Mus musculus: one gene and its partners. The protein of the gene in region 3 interacts with the protein of the main gene of each other region in a pairwise test. Links are inferred from orthologs where the notes say so. Each region holds a gene or a part of one and is shown on either strand. Other genes may lie near its edges.

Region 1 (5,074 bases), on a different chromosome or scaffold from region 3:
ATAGAACTTCATGTAATTTTTGTGAGGTGAGTCCTTTTGGGGTGCTGCATAGACTCTGAAGGTGAGCAGGCCCAGGCTGGCAGGCCCCACAGCTCTCTGAATTACCCTGAGGACACTGCTGGCAGCCTCGGCTCTGGCAGGGTGCCTCAGCCATATTTCAACTCTAAGATCTTCCAAGTTCAGCTCTAAAGCCACTGGGTTATTTCTTGCTTCTGCTACTGAAGTAGACTTCACCTTTCTCCCCTCCAGCCCAGTCTCCATACAGCAACTAGATATGTTCAGATAGGTAGGTAGGTAGGTAGGTAGGTAGGTAGGTAGGTAGGTAGGTAGAAGAGATCTTACTGTATTGCCTAGGCTGACCTCAAACTCATGCTTCAACTTCCCAAGTGCTGTGATCACAGGCATACACTCCTATGCCCAGTACAGCCATTTGTTTGCCTTAAAAAATAAAAATCAATTTAAAAAAATCTTATGTGTGTTTGGGTATTTGACCTGCGTGTAGGTCTGTATACAGTATGAATGCAGTGCCCACCTAGGCCAGAAGAGGGTGCTAGAGACTCTGGAACTGGAGTTTCAGTGAGTTGTGAGCTGTAGGTGTTGGGAGCCAAACCCCAAAGGGGTGGTGAGATGGATCAGTGGCTAAGAGCGATTGTTCTTGAAAAGGACCTGAGTTGGATTTCCAGAGCCTGCATGGTAGCTCACAACAAGCGCTCCAGTTCCAGGGCATTTGGGGGTTTGACGGCCTCTCCTGACTTCCCCTGGCACCCGACATGCATTCGCTGTATAACACATCCGGCAAGGAGAACACTCTGTGAGTTCAAGGCTACCCACATAGCAAATGCCAGGACATAGTGAGACTCTGTCTCAATAAAACAAACAATCTGGGTCCTTAGCAAAAACAGTAGGTACTCTTAACCACTGTTAATAACTCTCCAGTTATTAATTATTTAATTAATTTATTGGCAAACGTTCAACACAGGCCAGGCTGGCCTCAATGAACTCCTCCTGTTCCTGCCTCCACCTTTCACGTTGAGGAGATTACAAATATTCACAGCCATCTTTGTTCCAGTTAGCCCTCAGGACGCAGGGTCTCAGACTATGGAGAGCATTGCAGGGAGGAAGAGATGCCTCTTTACTGCTTCAGCCTCTGAGTGACGCCTCTCAGCATTGACCACCCTATACTTTTCGTTGTATAACGTCTTTGCTCTGGACCCTAACCCCAAGGTTGTGTGGAGCTTCAGGAAATATAGATGTGCAACAAGCCACTGGGCAAAGATGCCAAGTCTAGTTAGGTATGGTTTAAGACTATAATCACGCCTTGGGAGATTGAAGCAAAAAAGACCGTCAAGAGTTCGAGGCCAGCATGAAGCACATGAAGCCCTGTCTCAAGAATTACAACTTAAGGTCTGGGTCAGCCGTTAAGAGGTCAATAGAACTAGGTTTAAATCCCAGCACTCACAGTATAGCTAGCAAATCTATCCTATGTCCTCTTCCAGCCTCTGCAGGCACAAAAACCACACGTGGTGCATAGACAGACAGACAAAACACCCATACACAAGTAATTATTTTAAATGCTTTAAATGAAGTTAAAAGGGGTTTGCTGGGGGCTTGGTTGCTCGGCATCAGCGGCCTGGGGTTCGGTTCTGCACGATGGGATCTCTGGGCAGGTCAGTGAACCATTTCTAGGGACTGTTAATTCCGCAATCGCTCTACTCTGGCAAAGAACCTCAGAAAGGCCAAGAACGCATGCGCGAAGAAGGAACCACAGAGTCAGTCCTCCCAGGATAGAGAGGCCGGAAGTTCTCCCGGAGCTCCACGCCGTGTAGTGAAAGCCGGGCCGAGGTAGCAGGGAAGGGGTTCGCAGGGTGCTTGGCTGGGTGTGTGAGCAGAGGGTCGGCGTTAGGGGCCTTAGTTCTGTACAATGGCGTCTCGGGCAGGCCCGCGAGCGGCCGGCACCGACGGCAGCGACTTTCAGCACCGGGAGCGCGTCGCCATGCACTACCAGATGAGGTACGAGGTGAGCCAGGCGTACCGAGGCCTTTCCCGGCGGAGCCTGCAGATCCTGGGAAGAAGCGACGCCAGTGGTCCTCACGCTGTCGCCCCCCAGCCAGTTGTCGTGTACCCGCCAGGTCCCCTGCTCTAACGACCTCTGCTCTGTTTCCAGGCCGGGGAAACCCCGTGGCCCACCTTGGTCCGACTTATTCTTTGAGGGGATCCAGCCTGCACAGGCTCGTGGTTCGGTGCTGGCCCCCTGGGTGACCTTGGGAACGCCACTGCCACTTTTCTTTTTCAAGTCTAGATCCCACGGTAGCGTCCAGGCTGATCTCGAACTCACAGCCTTCTCTTTAGTCTCCTGAGTGCTTCTGGCTTTTCAGGGATGCACTTGGCCTGAGAACTCCTTAACATTTTTAAAGATTTTTATTTTTAATTTCGTGTGTGTGTGTGTGTGTGTGTGTATTTGTGCACGTGAGAGCAACTGCTCGCAGAATCCAGTAGAGGGCGTTGGAGCTGGAGTTACACATGGCATTTGGAGTCTACCCGAGGTTGGTGCTGAGAGCCAAGCCCAGAAAGGTGGCAAGCCATGTCTCTAACCACACGTCAGAAGTGATTTTGGAAGCTAGAGTTGTGGTTCATGAACCCAAACCGCCTCCACTGCAGCGAGCCTACTCTCCAGCTCCAACTCGGGTTATTTCCAATTGGAGTCTCAGTTTTCACATTTTTAGAGGGAGAAAATTTCATGATTTTTAGGTTTTGGTGAGGAATTAGCAAGTCGTTTGTGTAAAGGCACAGCATAGGAGTGTGGTGGCTGCTAAACTTGGGGCTGTCTGGATGTGGGTGGTAAAAGGTGACCCTGTCCATCCTGAGGTTTAGGAATACGTCCATATAAGGAGATCTTTCTACGTTCCTTTATTTGTTTGATAAACTCTTACAGGCTATCTATCCATCCTGTCTGTATTGTGTTCTGCACTGAGTCTTTCTTTCCCTCACCTGCCTCTGTCCTTCCTTTAGTGGTTTTTCGAGATGGGGTTTCTCCTTGTAATTCCAGGCTTTCTTGGAACTCACTTTGTAGACCAGGCTGGCATCAAACTCAGAGACCCACCTACCTCTGCCTGATAAGATTAAAGGCGTGTGACACCACCTGTAGACCCTATCTTTATGGAAGATGTCACATGAAGTTTACAAAGAGTTTCAATGCAGTCAAGTCTTTTTTTTTTTTTTCTTCAATTATAAAGTCCTTTTTATTAGTCAAAATCACAATCACCTTGATTAAAAGGGCAGAATATTCCACCCTCAGCAGAAAAACAACACAGTGATAGAAAACCTCCCCAAACCCTCCCACACCCCAATTAAAAACTAGAAAAAATGTCTGCCCTCTGGGCCTGCGATGCCATGGTAGTCTGACTCCTTCAGGGCACTGCCATGGAGTGGGCAGGCCCCCACAGCACCCTCCATTTCACCTTGGGGAAAGGAGGGGTGCTGACGGCCATGGACGTTAGGATAGAGATCCAGTGGGACCAGTCCCCAAGCATGCACTTCCTTCCTTTCCCCCAGGGCCTGGGACCAAAGGGTGCAGTCAAGCCTTAAGCTTATTGTGCACATGGGATTGAATTAGCTATCTGTTGACGGCCAACTCTGACAGTTGTGTTCAGTGATCCAAGGTGGGGATGTGGGGTTGGCAGTGATGTAATACAGGCACACACACTCACACACTTGGTAGATGATGCAATCTCCAACAAGCTCCAACAACTTCACATGTATGCATACACACACATACATTTGGTAGACGAAGCAAAGCTCGAACAGCCCTTTCACCTACAGCTTATGTATCCCAGCCAAATCTTTGAATCACGATGTGGTTACATTCTATTTTTCCTTAAGTGAATGATTACAATGAAGTTTCCCAATACCCTTGCACGATCAAGTGTTTTACATATTATGGGTGAAAAAAAAATTATTCCCAAGAACCCACATGCATTCGTAACTAAGCAACCTGTTATAGATTAACCAAGTGTGAGCAAGCAGTTGTCTCAGCCAGTTTCTCTTCCTGGCAGGCTGCAGTTTGTAATTACAAAGAAAGAGTCAATTATTATTTATCTTAAAAAAATAATCTTATAAAAATCTTAAAAGAATCATAAATCTACAGTTTTATATAAGAAACAATCAGTCATTTCTACTTTAAATCCTCAGGGTGCAGATCTATTCATTAACAAATTTTCTTCCACAAAAAAAAAATTTTTTTTTCTTATTAAATCCTATCAGGAAGCTGAGGGCAAAAATGGGTACAAGAAATTAATCATCTTGATCACCAACCCAGCGTTAGCAAGAGAGGCAGGTCAGCTAGAGCTGGCTGGGTTGTCATTGTTCTTGTTCTCTGACCTTAAAAAACAACCCTCGCTCAATATTTAAAAGTGTACCTTTCTAAGTTGTAACCCAAGATTTTCTAGATCAAAGCCACTAACTAAAACATCTTAACCTAACTTTACTAACAACCTACATCTCCACATTCTTTCTAAGGGTGGTGGACGTCACTCACAGTCTCCATCTCTAAGTCCTTTCTGAGAGTGATGGATGGATCATTAATTTGCTCCAGCAGCAAATTAAAGTGCCTGCTTGAAAAAGATCAATCGCTATTTGTGTCCTGCTAAGGACACTGCCTCGTGAGGGCCTGGAAACCCCCTTAGAGTTTTCATACAACCCATAGATTAGGGGTGACGTGATGACTGAGGACTCGCAGAGAGATGCTGCGTAACAGCATGAAGTCCCCAGGGCACACCTTCCTCAGCCCTCCGCCTCTCGCAGGCACACGCATCCTGGTTGTGCTGACCAGTGGGCCATATTCTATTAGTTCTAAAGCCATTTGTTGTTCATCTTTACACAGGCCTCGATAGTCATCGCCAGGAAAATTTCCACCAAACCATGCTGTGCCTAAATATGCCTAAAAAGACTCCTTGGGGTCAGACTCCTGAAGTTTGAGATATCACCAGATACAGAGTTGTTATCTCATGAAGATTATTAACTCTACTTGGGCGGGGGTGGTGGGGGGTGGGGGGTGGTGGCGAAGAGACCCCCCTCC
Region 2 (5,188 bases), on a different chromosome or scaffold from region 3:
TTTCTTTTTTTTTTTAGACAGGCAAGGTCTCATGTATTCCAACTGGCTTCCAAGCAGCTACCCAGCAGAGGACAGCATGTACTCTCCACCATATCTCACTGTATGTGGTGCTTGAGATCAACTGCAGAGACTCAGATATACTAGGCAAGCACTCTACCAACTCAGTGAGCTACATCCTCCACCCCACTGTATACATATTTTAAAATAAGACCTAAATTGAGTTCTGAACTCTGTCAACAGAGAAAAAAATGAAATCCAACCAGCTGCACAATGGAAAGGATTATCCATAGAAGACAAACTACTCAGATGAAGGTTTTACTAGGGACGCACTTACAAGATGCACATTGTATAACTCTTTGTAAACAAGACACTGCTATACAACATCCTCAACAATAGTCTGTAAGTTAAAAGGATGTACTTCGCCGGGCGTGGTGGCGCATGCCTTTAATCCCAGCACTCGGGAGGCAGAGGCAGGCGGATTTCTGAGTTCGAGGCCAGCCTGGTCTACAAAGTGAGCTCCAGGACAGCCAGGGCTATACAGAGAAACCCTGTCTCGAAAAACCAAAAAAAAAAAAAAACCAAAAAAAAAAAAAAAAAAGGATGTACTTCAAAGAGATGATCCTTATAACATCTCTCAAACTGACACTAAAACAAAGCCAAAATGTAACTCTGTGATCCAACAATGTAGTCTTGAGGATACAAGCTCTCTAGTGATAACACATAGACTGCTCTGCAAGCAGGTCCTTTCTCCTCCAACTTCTTATGACGGTTCAACTGTATGAATCCATTTAAATACAGCTCACTGAAATGTGTCCTAAATCTCCTTTACTAGCCTCTATTATCACTTTTCCTCTAAACAAGTGGTCCTCAGCCCTCCTGATGCTACAAACCTTTAATACAATTCCTCCTGTTGTGACCTCCAACTAAAAAATCATTTTCATTGCTACTTCATAACTGTAACTTTGCTGCTGTTATAAATGTAACTATGTTTTCTGATGGTCTCAGGTGATTGATCCCTGGAAAGGATCTTTCCACGCCCTCCAGAAGGGTCTCAACTCACAGGTTAAGAACCACTGCTCAAAACTGATATTATGTCCAATCACTCATTAGTAGTTATTATACAAATTATCATAAAAATAGAAAGCACTGAACACATTAAGGGTACGGACTAATCTTTTATCGATATACATTTAGACGTGCATACATGTAGAGTTAATAACTTCTGCTAAAAATTTAATGTTGAAAGTTTTAAATTTCTTCTAAGTTTTACTTTTTCACTCCTTTGTACATGCTTGTCAAGCCATGTCCTTTCCAGGCCTCATGTCTTAAGTCTATAGCTCCCCCACACTGGAAGGCTATCCCACTACTTCACTCAACTTCTTGGCTGTTCTTTCAAGTTTACTCATCTGTTCATTCATTTATTCCAGGCTTTGGATAATGCACCTCACCTACAAGGAAACAACTGTTCTCTTCTTATCAGCTACAAAACAGTTCAGATCAACTTAATCTGTTTCACCTTTTCTAGCCAAAATAGTTTAAGGAAGGAACCAGAGTTTTAGGCTTTTTTTTTTTCAAGTTAAATTTCCTTTATCCCTTAGGTTTGTTAAAGAAAAAATATTCATTAAAACCCAATAAAATAAGCCGGGCGTGGTGCCTTTAATCCCAGCACTTGGGAGGTAGAGGCAGATGAATTTCTGAGTTTGAAGCCAGTCTGGTCTACAGAGTGAGTTCCAGGACAGCCAGGGCTACACAGAGAAACCCTGTCTCAAAAAACAAACAAACAAACAAACAAAACCCAATAAAATAATTGTGTTATTTATTTGAAAGAGTAAAACATGGGAAACTCAAAATATCACTTAATCAACATTTCAAAAAGGAAATCAGTAAGTCCAAAGAAATCTTAAATTGATTTTCTCGTGTTAAATTGATCGTTCAAAGTTATTCAAACAAAATGGGTACCAAAATTCTGACTCATTCTAGTAATCAAAGAGAAGCATCAATAGTAGTAACATCATTACAGAGGACTCAAAGGATTCTTCAACTTGACCCTCTGTGATTTCCTGAACGACTTACATCCACGGCATCCATGGAACAATAATCACAAATGGTTTTGTTTTGTTTTTCCTTTGAAGGCTCTTCCTGAAGAGCACACAGGATCAATTTCTCAGACCCGTATGTAAAGCTCACTGCTTTTCCCCCGGTCTCACTGCATTTCCCCGGTAACTTTCTCCCCAACAAAGTCCTGCTTTCAGCTCCAATACTGTTTCAGCAAACTTCCAAACTCTCCTAATCGTCCCTTAACTCTAAGTGATAGCTGTCTATTCCTTTTTTTTTTTCTCCCCCAACCCCTCTTGAGGAATAACATCAACCTACCCCTATTATGAAAAAAGAAAAAAAAGAAAATTGCCGAGGCGCTCGAGGAGCCAAAGAAGACAGTTGCAACACATGGCAGGCTCTGGGAGATTACAAAAAAAAAAAAAACCTAAGAACAAAAAGCGACTCGGTGGCCGGCAGATGCTGCGATCGATCGCTGTCCTTCTACACCTCCGTCCAGGTAGCCGTGCACCAGCCCCACACGGCGCGGACAACCTGTACACACTCCACGCCAACTGGCAAGTCGGAAACTCCCATGGTACCTTTCCCTTCGGCTTCTCCAACACAGAGAAGACTTGACCGCTCTAGAATCCGCTCCACTTCTTCCCTCCTCGCCCTAAAAGTACAACTTCTTCTCCAGAGAATAACTTTTTCCCCAGAGCACCCATTTTTTTTTCTCCCCCCTCTCATCCCTGAGGGACTCCGAGGAGGACAGGGAGGAGGGCTTTAGGGAAAGAGGTCGCCCGGGGGCGCCCGATGCTGCCCCGCCACCACTAGGCCACAGCCACGCCGCACTCACCCCCAAACTACATAGTTGGTCTTCACATTCTTGGGCCAGGAGAACTCCCCGAAGATCACTTCATCCCCCTTGACCACGATCTCCTTCTTCTGGATGTTGTACTGTCGCAGGACGCTGAGCACGTCCGCCATCTTCGCCCCCCTCGCTGCTGCCGCCGCCGCCGCCGCGGGCCCCGGGCCCCGCCGTCGCCGCCGCGCCTGCCGCCTCCTTCCCCCGTCGCCTCGCCCTCTTCCCCCCGCCGCCGCCGCCGCCGCCGCGAACCAACAGCCGCCACACTCAACAGCCGGCCGCGTCTACGACAGCAGCACGGGCAGAAGCCACCCAGGCCGCCGAGGACCCCGCGCTATATAAGGCAAGGCCCCGCCGCGGGCTGCCCGCGGAGAACGCCTGACTGACCCACGCTCCGCCGGGGCCGCGGGCCGCCGCCAGGGGGCGCCGTGGCCGCCCGAGCACACGCGCCACCCAGACGCCCGCGGGGCGCGCCGCCGACTTCGGGAAACGGGGAGCGGGCCTCGGCGCTCCGCGTGTGCGGCGCCCTAGCGGAACCGGGCCCCGGTGCGGTCTCAAGGCTCGCACGGGGCGAGCGACAGGTGCGCGCGCACCTGCTGGGCGCTTCCGCGCTTTTCAATCCCAGAGCGCGCGCCGCCGCCGGGTGATTTAAACTTTCCCTGCGCCAGGCTCCGCTTCCCTCCCTTGAACCCCAGGACTACCTTTCTGTCTGCATCGGAGCCCCACCGCACTCTGCGACATAGGTCCCCATGGTCAGGAACAGCTCCTAGGGAAAGCTGGAGCTTTGAAATGTGGACGTTTTCAAGTTTAGGCTGGATTTTAATAAGGGGTGTATTTGCAAAGAGGAAAAGAAGAGTTAGGTGGAGGACAATTCTTGCCCCGTTTGTTAGTCTCTGGTCTCCTAACATCGTTTGATTGGTAGACAGAATAAAATTAATCAGAGAAAAAGCTGAAAGCATCCCAACGCGTCGACGAAGGACCATTCATTGTTGACTCGTCCCCCTCCTTTCCTTGGAAACAACTTTTTCCATCCCCTCAGCTTCTCCCGGGTAATCACAAAAAAAGCCTCAAGTGATTTCAGGTTATGAATGGAAGAAATACTCCTTCAGAAACCTCAAGCTGTGAATTAGAACACTTTTTCAGACGAACAGACTTTTAAGTGGTACTCAAAAGGCTTACCGGTGCCTTTATGATTATGGGAACCTAGAAATCAATTCTGCATACTATTCATGGCCTGTGTACTTTAAACATATACTTCAAGCCTAATATTTCTTTTTCACTCTTTGTGAGAAGGAGGCACACTTTGTTACTTATAAAAACAAATACTTTGGTCTGTTTTTTTTTGGGGGGGGGGACTTTTGTTATGTGTGACAAAGTGTAATTTGGGTATAGAAAGAAGTATGAGGTTAAAAAAATGTCTGCTCCACAAATGTCTTTCTCCCGTCAATGTGTCTCAGAACCTCACTGCAAATGCAGGTTATAAAGAACTGACTGTGCTTGTCTGTCCCTTTCACATCTCTGAACTTATGCCTATATCACAGCATCCAGTATTTCCTTGTCCCCTTTGTTTGCTTCTCTACCTCCTAGGAGATGAACCGACTGTATGACATGAGATGAACCGACTGTATGACATGTAGTATATATTGGTCATATGTACTATACTTGGTACAGTGACAGCTCCTAGAACGATGTTGTAGTAAGTGAAAAGATAAAGGCTCCAAGTAAAGTCTGGGTAATAAATGCATAGGTAGGTTTCATGGAGTTAAGAGAGTCAACAATAGTTTTTATGAATTTTAATTCATATACAAATCATTTCCAACCAATTTCTCTTTTTGATTAATTTATGTTTTTAAGGTTAATGATCCTTAAACTCAACGTTGTAAGATACATGGTTAGTAATTTATAGTGTATAGCAGTTAAAGCACGGAAGTTCTACTTTGTTTTTGTTATATAAATTCCCTTAAATTGTCCCTCTCATGTTAAGTCAAGAAGGTCAAAATCTAATAAAAGATAATAGTAGTTGTAGAACTAAAGATTCGGGAAAGTAACTAAAAATTATATTCAAAATAGTTTTATTGCTGGGCAGTGGTGGCGCATGCCTTTAATCCCAGAACTTGGGAGGCAGAGGCAGGCGGATTTCTGAGTTCAAGACCAGCCTGGTCTACACAGTGAGTTCCAGGACACCCAGGGCTACACAGAGAAACCCCTGTCTTGAAAAAAACAAACAAACAAAAAAAAATTTTTGTTTTATCACGGGCAAAGCTGTGCACTTCATAGGGACACATG
Region 3 (5,249 bases):
GATAGCAACAAGGTATTCATAGACATAAAATAATTCTTTTTTAAAAAGTTATTATTTTAAATTTATATGTATAAAAATTTTGTTGGCATGTGTGTCTGTGCACCATATTTGTGCCTGGAGACCAGAAAAGGGAATCAGATCTGCTGGGGGTGGAGTTATAGACCCTGTGAGCTGCCACATGCGTGGGGCATAAAACCATGCCAGGAAATTCAGTTAGGCATAGCAAGTTCAGACCCAGAGACTCTGTGCACACCTGAGGCTTAGGCGACTCCCTGCTCCCCCACCCCACCCACAGACTCCTGACTTGGAACACATGCCATGCTTCGCACATAAATGTGTCAAGCTGGGCATGGTGGCGCATGCCATTAATCCCAGCACTCGGGAGGCAAAGGCAGGCGGATTTCTGAGTTTGAGGTATGATTTTACACATCCATTTTCCGCCATGACAATAAACTGTTTAGAATCATAGACTGTCTCTTTTCATCAAGATCTGCTGTGGGAGCCATGAAGAAGGCCTTCACCTTCAGAGCCACAACCCACTCCCCCATAGAAGGCTTCTCTGCGCTCCCAGTCACAACCTCCTTCCCTTACCAAGATAAGGACAATAATCCCTGTGAGACTAGCTGGAGTTCCCCTTCTCCCCCAACCCCTGCCCCAGGCTCCAGGCTAGATGCTGTCCCCAGACCTCAGGCCCCTGCTCTTCCAGGACTCCCAGCCGTGCCAGGATTTCCAAGAGTCTGAGAACCCCACAACCCTGGCCTTGTCACAGGCCTGGGACCCCAGAAGGAGCTCTGGCTTTCCCACCCTGGGAGCAATGTCACTTCCTTACAGCCCAGCATCCACCCCAGAGGCAGTATGGGATAAGCCCAGTCAAACTCCCTGCTTCTGTGTCCTGAGTGGCCTGCAATGTGGATGCTGGGAATCCATCTCAGGTGTTCTGGAAAAACATCCATTGCTCTTAAACAGTGGTCTATGTTTCCAGCCCCAGGAATGGATGTTGATAATAGGGACAAAGCTAACAGGGTCCAGAATGCACCACAAGTTGTCCTGAAAACACCCGGCAGACCTTTCATCTAGACCAGGCGTCCTAGTTTGCTTTCTACTGCTGCGGTGCGTGAGCACCACGATCAAAAACAACTTGGGGTGAGCACCATGATCAAAAACAACTTGGGGAGTCTATTTCATCTTGTGATAGATCACAGTCCATCACAGAGAAGAGGCAGGGTAGGGGCTCGAAGGAGGAACTGAAGCTTGCTCAGGGTTTTGTTTTGTTTTTTTTCATACAACCCAGAAGCACCTTCCCAGGGGTGGTCTTGCCCACAGTGGGCTGCCATCCACATCACTCATTAACCAAGAAAATATCCCCACAGGCTTGCCTACTGACAGGGTAACTTTTCAGTTGAGGTTTTCAGATGACTCTGGCTTTTGTCAAGGCAACAAAAAACTAAACAGCACACACAGGGTCTGATGGTCAGTAAGGTGAGAAAGACCTTGCACTTTTTGCCTCTACCTCCCGAGTACTGGTACACTACCCTGCCCAATTCACTAGGCCCTAGGGATTGAATGAGGGCACCCTCAGTCAAACACCGTACCCCTGAGCTACATGCCCAGTCCTTATCATTACATGCATGTGTTTTTAAACAGCAAGGGGTAGGAAAGTGAACATGATAGGGTCTGCATGTGGAATTCAGGGGCCCTCCTTGCACCATGTGGGTCCTGGGGATTCTTCTCAGATCGATCACCGGGATGGGTGGCAAGTGTCTTTACTCTTTTTTGGTTTGGTTTTTTTTTTTTTTTTTTTTTGGCTTTTTCGAGACAGGGTTTCTCTGTGTAGCCCTGGCTGACCTGGCACTCACTTTGTAGACCAGGCTGGCCTCGAACTCAGAAATCTGCCTGCCTCTGCCTCCCAAGTGCTGGGATTAAAGGCGTGCACCACCACGCCCGGCTGTTGGACCCTTAATAATAAAAAAGTTCGAATAGTCCACAGGCATGGACTGAGGCAGGGTGATTGCTTCAAGTCCGAAGCCATCCTGGGCTACATAGCTAAGCAGTAAGTAGAAACTATAATAGTTTGGGAAAACAGCTTGGGTACCTATTAATGCGGGGGGCGGGGGGGGGGGAGGGAATGGAGCGGAAGTGAGGCTGGACCAGACTGCGCATCATTGTGACAGTGGCGGGCGAGCCAGACCCAAAAGAAAGAACTTGGTTCAAAGACTGACAAGAAGAAAAGGATGAACAGGGAGTCCTTCGGTTGAACTCTCTCCTGCTTGGCCCTATTTTGTCAAGCAGAAGGAAAGGATTTTTGTACCGCAGAAGAAAGCTGCCGATAATATCGCGCCATCACCGCTAGCCCCACTAGTGCGCATGCACTCGATCCTCAGGTCCAGCCTATCCTCCCGAGAAGCTCTACGCATGCGCCAGCTCAAGGGTCTTCGTAAGGAGAGACCCGGGCGCCATCCACTCGGAGTGCGCTTGCGTGAGTACAAGAGCCTGAGAGGGCGGGACTTGCAGGAGGCCGGCTCATTTGCATTTCTGGCGGGAAAAGGCGCGTGTGAACACGCCTCTTCCGTGACATTCGCAACCGCCGTTCGTCGCTGGTGTCCCTCAACTGAGTCCCGACTCCAGGTACGCCCTGCCTGTGGCGACTTTCATGGCAGGTTCCCCGGTAACATCACCTGCCAGCTCCTTCAAAAACGCCCCAAGTTTTGAGACAAGGTTTCTCTGTGTAGCCCTGGCTGACCTGGAACTCACTCTGTAGACCAGGCTGGCCTCGAACTCCGAAATCCTCCTGCCTCTGCCTCCCGAGCGCTGGGATTAAAGGCGTGCGCCACCGTGACCGGCTTCCTCAGGAAAATTCTAGTGGCAACTTCGGCAATCCTGTCAGACTCTTGAAACTTCCGGTTGCTTTTTGTTGCTTGTTTTCTATTTTTGTTTGAGACAGACCCTCCAAGTGCTGCCCAGGCTGGCCACGACCTCATGATCCTCATTCCCCAGTTTTAGGATTACAGCTCTCCCAGATGTGCCCAACTGCAATCTTCTAGAACTTTTGAAACCTAACACTTAATCTATTTTGTTTTTGTGGGTAGGGTAGGTGTTTTTGTTTTGAGACAGGGTTTCTTTGTGTAGCATTGACTGTCCTGGAACTCTCTCTGTAGACCAGGCTGGCCTGTGTGCTTCTGGTTCCCACGTGCTGGGATTAAAGGTGTGCACCACCACTGCCTGGCTTTTGTTTGGGTGTTTTTGGTTTTTGTTGTTGTTGGGGTTTTTTGTTTGTTTGTTTGTTTTTGAGTATTTTGCCGGCATGTTTGTATGTGTGTCAGGTATGTGCCTGTGGAGACCAGGTGGTTTTGTATCCCTCTGAACTAAAATTGCAGATGAGGAGGAGTTCACATGTGTGTAGTGGGATTCCAACCCATATCTATCTGGAAGAGTAAACTGTTAGTCCTCTTAACGACTAAGCTACCCTCCAGGGACTCTCTAGGGCTTCAGTAAATTGCCCAGACTCTACTCAAAACCTTGGATCCTGCTGCCTCAGCCTCCTGAGTGCTGGTATCACAGGTGTAGCCCACCACGCCAGCCGCTAGGATCTTCTAGATATCCCATCAGAGTCTCCCTCAAAAACCTGTCAGAGACTTTTCCTCTGAAATCTTGGTGGAGATTTGGTGTTCAAGTCCTATCTGATACTTTAGAAATCTGTAGTTGCCCTACAAGTTCCGCCGGGGACTCTGAAATCTAGTGACACCCCAGAAATGCAGCCCTTGAATTCTAGTCCAGGGATCCCCTCCAGACTTCCTCCATGTTTAAAACCCACAAGACACTCACTGGCCACCTGATATCCCTTGTTCCTCAAGATTTTGTCCGAGTTTCCCCTTGAAAGAGTCTCAGAAAGCCTCTTCTTTCCCTGGTGCCTTCTAAAAGCCTCTGAGATGGACAGCAGGAGGATCCCCACTAGCTGAAGACCAGCCTGCTTTACACAGCTTCAGAAGGCCCACTACAGCTAAAGCTACATAATATATATTTACTAAGTCCCTGTCTCCAAAAGCCAGATAATAATGTCTCCAGAAAACATTCGGCTGCCGGAATACAGGCAAGGCAGAGTGATGGCTGCATTCCCTGAGGAAAGGGAGAGAGGCTGCTTCTCTCCCCTTCGGTGACAAAGATATAGGCTGGATCACTCCAGATTCAAAATAGATTAAGGCGGGCTTACGAGGAGGCATCAACCTCCACCCACCTCACACGTGGAGATCAGTGAAGTCACACATCCAGGCTAAGCTTAGCAAAGGTGTTTTATAAAGCTTAGACGGGGAGTGATAACGTGCCAGCTAGGGGCTGGGATTATGTCCTTACATGGTCAAAAGCTGAGACCCCGGGGGCGGGGGGGGGGGGGGTTGGCACTTATGGGTGGATAGCTGGAAAGTGGAGAGGAGAGGTGTTAGCCCCAAGTTTTGTCCTTGTGGGCAGAGTTGAGGGGAGAAGAGCAAAGGAGGTTTCTTAGCTTTTGCAGGGGATGAGCAGGGGTTCCAAACAAACAAAGGGGAGCCAAGCAGGAGGAAACCCAGGCTCTCTCTACCCTTGGCCCCAGTCCCTAGAGGGACTACTGACAGTGCCTCCTTTTCTCCTGAAAGTGACTGGCCAGTCGGGCGTGGTGGCCAGCACTAGGGAGGCAGAGGCAGGCAGATTGGATTTCTGAGTTCGAGGCCAGCCTGGTCTACAAAGTGAGTTCCAGGACAGCCAGGGCTATACAGAGAAACCCTGTCTCAGGGAAGAAAAAAAAAAGTGACTGGCCAGGCTGTAATAGAGGCAGGACAGCACTGTCAGGGTGCAGAGGAGGGAGTCCCTGTGACCACAGAAGCCTGTGAGAGTCAAGCCCACTCATAAATATAGGCCTTGGGAGTGTCTGTAAAGATGTCTCAGTGGTAAAGAGCACTGAGTTCAATTCCCAGCAACCACATGGTGGCTCACAACCATCTGTAATGGGATCTGATGCCTTCTTCTGTCATGCAGGCATGCATGCAAATAGAGCACTCATATAAATAAATAAACAAACAAACAAATAAATAAATTTTATTTTTAAAAAGGGGGAGCAGCATGGAGATGGCTGGTGGAGGAGAAAAACAACAGAGTTGATTTTCAACAGAGAAGAGCCTAGAGAGAAGGCCCGGTGGTTAAGAGAACTTGCTGTGTGTCAGCGTGAGGGCACATGCCTTTAGTCCCAGCACCCTGAAGCAGGTGGATCTCTTGAGTTCAAG
Region 4 (4,635 bases), on a different chromosome or scaffold from region 3:
AAATGACATGATAGGGAACTAAGCTAAGATGGCATGTTTCTCAATATCTGTACATTAATTAAAGTTATAAAAATAGTATTACTTAGAAGAAAATGTATTGAAATAGCTGATACCAAGAGACATTTACACACAGTGTACCTGTTTCCCTAAAGAAGCCACAATTGTGTGGAAGATCCTGTGGACTGAATGGCTGGCTAAACTTTCTAACAGTGGTCCAGGAGAATGCTGCATACAAGAACATATATTTGTGTCCCTCCTCCCCCATAGCCCATAGTTGCCACAGTAACCATTTGCTACAAATTCCTGTATCTTCTGGCCTAACATCTTTGTTACTGTTTGGTATGCACTGTTGAAACCTAGCTAGCCAGTAGCTTCCATCAACATTTTTAATCCCCCCAACCCCTTCCCTCAATGGTACTAGGGATTGAACCCAGATCCTCAAGTAAGGTGAATCAGCCTCCTACCGCTAGATCCCTTTGAAATTAAGAATATTTTAACATCTGAAGCCTATGAAATAGACCCACATGCTTGCTCACATCGACTCACCTATTCAATGTCTTATCCCTTTCAACGTACATTGATGTACAACCTTTTCTCTTCAGGCTATAAAAGTTCATATAATATTTCCTATAACAACTGAATGAATAACCCGAACCCATGCTCTGGATTTACAGCTATTAATGTTAAGCAGATGAGCTCTTCCTTTGGATCAGTGGCCTTGAAACCCTATAAATAGGTGCACAGTACATTTTTCAGTCCTGAATTCAAACAGTGGATGTAACCTCAAAATGCAACATTGTTGCAAGCACAATGCAAACAGTTACAGAATGCGGAAATACTTTCAAAGGTGAAAAGGTTCTCTGGTCCATTTTGTGCAACTTCAAGTAGAGAAAACTGTTCTGAAAAAGATCATGTGCCGGTTAAAATGAACAAGGACTAGATTTTGATGTGTAACACCATATGCTTGCCATAAAACTAACCCATGAAATTTATTCTAGATTCGCGGGACGATTTCTTCTTCTAGCTTCCTATGCTGTTAGGGTTTAAAAGACACCCCAGCACACCCCCTCTCCCATTACATATCTGGCCATTTGTGAGGTGAATAAATTGGAGCATCTCGGGGACCATCCAGTCCACGCCGTGACTTTTCTTGTGCCTTTTTTGTATAAGGAACAAGCGGTAGTCTCTCCAAGGGCACGGCCAAAGGAAACATAGGACTTGACCCAAGGCTGAGTTTTGGAAAGGCTCTTCTTCCTGGTACTGAAGGTCTAGCTTCCTCCCACAAGCCACCTAGATGGACCTCCACCAGTTCAGAACCAGGAGGCCACAAGATGCGCCACGCAGAGGGTGAGGGAGGACCGGAACAGGGACAAGGAGCAGCCCGGTCGCAGCAAGGGACAGAGAAGAGCAGCAGCCAGCGTGGGGACCGCCAGCCAGGGCCGCCGCGCGCGGGATCACGGTGAGGGGGCGTGGCTTCCGCCGGCGCGGCCCCGCCCCTTGAGCGCCGGGCGGTCACGTGACGGCCGCGCGCGTCCCCGTCCGCTGCGGGCTCCGAAGCGGAGGAGAAAAGACTGCGAGGTGGCTGCGGCGGCGGCCGAGAGGTGGGCTCCGGGCCGGACCGGTGAGGAGCGCGGGGGGCCGTGGGCTGCGGGCCTCGGCGGGGCACTGCGGCTTCGTTGGCTGCGAGGCGGCGCTCGGAGTCCGCGGCGGGCGGCGGCGGGTCGGGGGCCGGTAGGACGGGGACGCCCTTGGCCAGCGCGGCCCGGACGGGCGCGCGGAGGGAGGCCGAGCTGGCGCAGCCCGGACTGTGACGGGCGCGGCCCCGGCCATTACTGCGCAGGCAGGCCAGGCTGCGGGCAGCTCCAGCGGGCTCGACCGGGCCTCAGTCGGCCACGGGCTGCATGCTATCTTCCGCCTGCCCTGCCGCCGCCGCCGCCGCCGCGGCTGTGCCTCTGGGTCTTGCCCAGTGCCCGGAGTCGTCCCCTCCTCCTCGCGCTGGCGGAAGCCGCCGAGCGTTCTTGTTTTGATGGCTCCCCAAACCCGAAACCAGCCTGAGGTGTCGGGATACCAGTTGGGCCTCCCAAGCCGGGTGCATCTTGAGAGCTCCGGCAGTCGCTTTGTTCTGCTTGCTGGATGTGGAGTTTTCTCCTTAACCCTCCACCCCATCTGAGAGCGCACGGGATCCCCATTGTTGTCACTGTCTTATTTTCTGGACTTTTTTTTTTTTTTTTTTTTAAAGAGAAAGGGCTATGTGACATTGTTTTTGAGGATGTGGAAATGGAACCGTCCTCTATAATTAGGTAAGATGTTTCCCCACTGTAAGTTAGCACACGCATTCTGACAACTACATTTTATCTGTGTATGTGTGTGTGTGTGTGTGTGTGTTCTTTTGCAAACTAGATGTGCACCTGGAGCTTGGGCATTGAAAGGCACGTATTGTCATAGAAGTTGAATGCGTAGAACATAACAATAAATGATCTGTATCATTAGACTTTTAAAGAACATGGCATATTAAAGAACAAATTAAGAAAACGACCCACACATACTAGCAGAGCGTGAAAAGCGTCTGGGAGCTGTAGAAACACTTGAAAATAGGTGAAGTAAATCTCATTTTAGAGAAAACTCAAGAGTAACTGCTACAGTAAAGATGGAGTTTTGGATATGTTTGCTTGGGTCTTGGATATCATAGAGTTTATTTATGTCTTAATTGGGCGTGTGTAATGGGGAAAGAATGAAAACCCTGTTATTAAACGTTTGAAAGTTTCTGTTTTGTGCTGTTTAAGAACTGAGTCGAATTGTAGTCATGGGGAAATGTCCCAAATAACTGTTCATTAGATAACAGGAATGCAAACATAAATGATTTTTTTTTTTTTGTAGGAGACATGCCATTTAGTAAAAGTGCCACTTTGAAACTGTTGGAGGGTTTGTTTTGTTTTATTTTTTGGATCCAACATGATTCCTTGACTTTGAAGAAGAAAATAATAGGAAGAATTTTTCATATCCATCTGTTTAAAACATATTTTCTGTCAGCCATATATGAGTTTGAAGGACTTATCACATTTCCCTATCAGTATGAGAGATGGAAGATCCGAGTCTTTTCTACCTCCTTGCTTGGTTGCCTTCTTGATCACAGAGTCTGAACTTGGGTAACTGCTGGGTGGATTAGAAACAGTCTTTTTGAGCATACACACTGTTTACACTAGTCTACAGCTTCCTTTGCTTCTTTGTATACTCTCATTTACCTTTCTAGTTAGTTAATACAAAGCCTGTTGTTAAAGGCCTGCTAATTAAAATGTTTGGAGTTGTCCAATTACAGAGGCTGGCTAGAGCAAAGTAACAAAAGCATAGGGATAACTTGGCAAAGGTCACTCACCAGTTAATAAGAGGACTTTCTTATTTATAGAATGTCTGCCAGCCTGAAACATCTGTTAGATGAGAATACATGTATTACATATAAATATAAATTGACATTTGTATCTCATGAGTTAATGAAATCAATACAACGCCCACTTTGCAGAGAAGGAATTTAAAGCCTTACACTTAAGTATAAGGACGGAGACAAAAGTAAATAGAGTCACAGGATGGGGCTTCTTAAGGGCAGTCATACACAAGGCAAGAAGATCCCTCAAAAGTATGGAACCCCACTTAACTGAACTGGGTTTTGACAGAACACTTATTTCCAAGCTTAACTTAGACTTTTAAAACTGATTTGATGATGAAGTATAAAAATTGACACATTGTAACAGTTACATACTTGTGAATTTGGGAATCTTTCTTAAGAAGTTTTAAGATGTGTTTGTTAAATCCCATCTGACCCCTACTCATTTTTCTTGTGTTTATAATAGAGACATATGTAAGTAAACAGATACACATAATAAGGTTTGTAGTCCCCCTATTGATATGTTTTCTATATAGTGTATTCTGTTTGAGTAACTCTTATTTCATTACACCTTAACTTTAAATAGGATAAGCAGAAAATGTCCAACTGTATATAATTTGACATTTATATTTTTATTTCTATTGTGATATGTTCATCTTTTTTCTTTGATTCGCCTTTTTTTTTCCTTAAAGAAACAATATTTTATTCAAGTTTATTATCTAGGGACGGTGGATCTTTAAAAAGTTTGGCTGGCTTAAAATTAATCCTAATTGTTTACATTATCAACCCTAATATTTATATTAGGTATTAATGTAGTCAAGTAATTATGATTTAAATTTCTTCAGTGGTTACAATTTTAAAGTAATAAAATATGACTATTTTTCAGTTTTTTTAATGTAGCTGGATTAATGGACTATTAATCCATTTTGTCTCAACTTAGAAAATTCTGTGAGATATAGAAATTGGAAAAGTCACCATAACCTGCAAGGTTTTAGAGAATATATGCACAATGCCCTCACAGAGACATTGTTTCCATCTTGCTTACATTTGTAAAGTTATCCCCAGATAGCTGCAGTCTGCTTTGTTGATGGAATACTTTGATAAAGTTTGTCTATGAGCACCAAAGATTTTTGTATAACTGGAATAAAACAGTTCTAAGGATGGACTGGTCCAAAATGCAGGTGTTCTTAAAGATTTATATGGGTTATTTCGAAACTTCTTTGTTTCTGTTTGCTTTGATATTTAAGTACAAACCA

What was found. The genes of interacting proteins can lie anywhere in the genome.
Region 1: the proteins of Kash5 (region 3) and Jagn1 interact in binary tests that used the Homo sapiens proteins (3 or more experiments, as listed by UniProt). The two-hybrid records come from large-scale screens. The link is inferred for Mus musculus from reciprocal best matches to the Homo sapiens genes KASH5 and JAGN1.
Region 2: the proteins of Kash5 (region 3) and Cdc73 interact in binary tests that used the Homo sapiens proteins (3 or more experiments, as listed by UniProt). The two-hybrid records come from large-scale screens. The link is inferred for Mus musculus from reciprocal best matches to the Homo sapiens genes KASH5 and CDC73.
Region 4: the proteins of Kash5 (region 3) and Rnf146 interact in binary tests that used the Homo sapiens proteins (3 or more experiments, as listed by UniProt). The two-hybrid records come from large-scale screens. The link is inferred for Mus musculus from reciprocal best matches to the Homo sapiens genes KASH5 and RNF146.

The regions. Positions count from the first base shown.
Region 1 is NC_000072.6:113,440,788-113,445,861, forward strand, and holds the start of Jagn1 (protein jagunal homolog 1), read left to right. Parts: upstream 1-1,781; 5' UTR 1,782-1,921; coding exon 1,922-2,010; coding exon of another isoform or gene 2,011-2,017; intron 2,018-5,074. UniProt on the Homo sapiens protein: Endoplasmic reticulum transmembrane protein involved in vesicle-mediated transport, which is required for neutrophil function.
Region 2 is NC_000067.6:143,699,601-143,704,788, forward strand, and holds the start of Cdc73 (parafibromin), read right to left. Parts: upstream 3,294-5,188; 5' UTR 3,025-3,293; coding exon 2,894-3,024; intron 1-2,893.
Region 3 is NC_000073.6:45,201,819-45,207,067, reverse strand, and holds the start of Kash5 (protein KASH5), read left to right. Parts: upstream 1-2,175; 5' UTR 2,176-2,364; coding exon 2,365-2,476; exon of another isoform or gene 2,477-2,625; intron 2,626-5,249. UniProt on the Homo sapiens protein: As a component of the LINC (LInker of Nucleoskeleton and Cytoskeleton) complex, involved in the connection between the nuclear lamina and the cytoskeleton.
Region 4 is NC_000076.6:29,358,950-29,363,584, reverse strand, and holds the start of Rnf146 (E3 ubiquitin-protein ligase RNF146), read left to right. Parts: upstream 1-1,881; intron 1,882-1,915; coding exon of another isoform or gene 1,916-2,189; intron 2,190-2,239; 5' UTR 2,240-2,300; intron 2,301-4,635. Other genes in the region: Gm30698 (verprolin-like), read right to left, coding at 1,076-1,881, 1,916-2,189. UniProt on the Homo sapiens protein: E3 ubiquitin-protein ligase that specifically binds poly-ADP-ribosylated (PARsylated) proteins and mediates their ubiquitination and subsequent degradation. May regulate many important biological processes, such as cell survival and DNA damage response.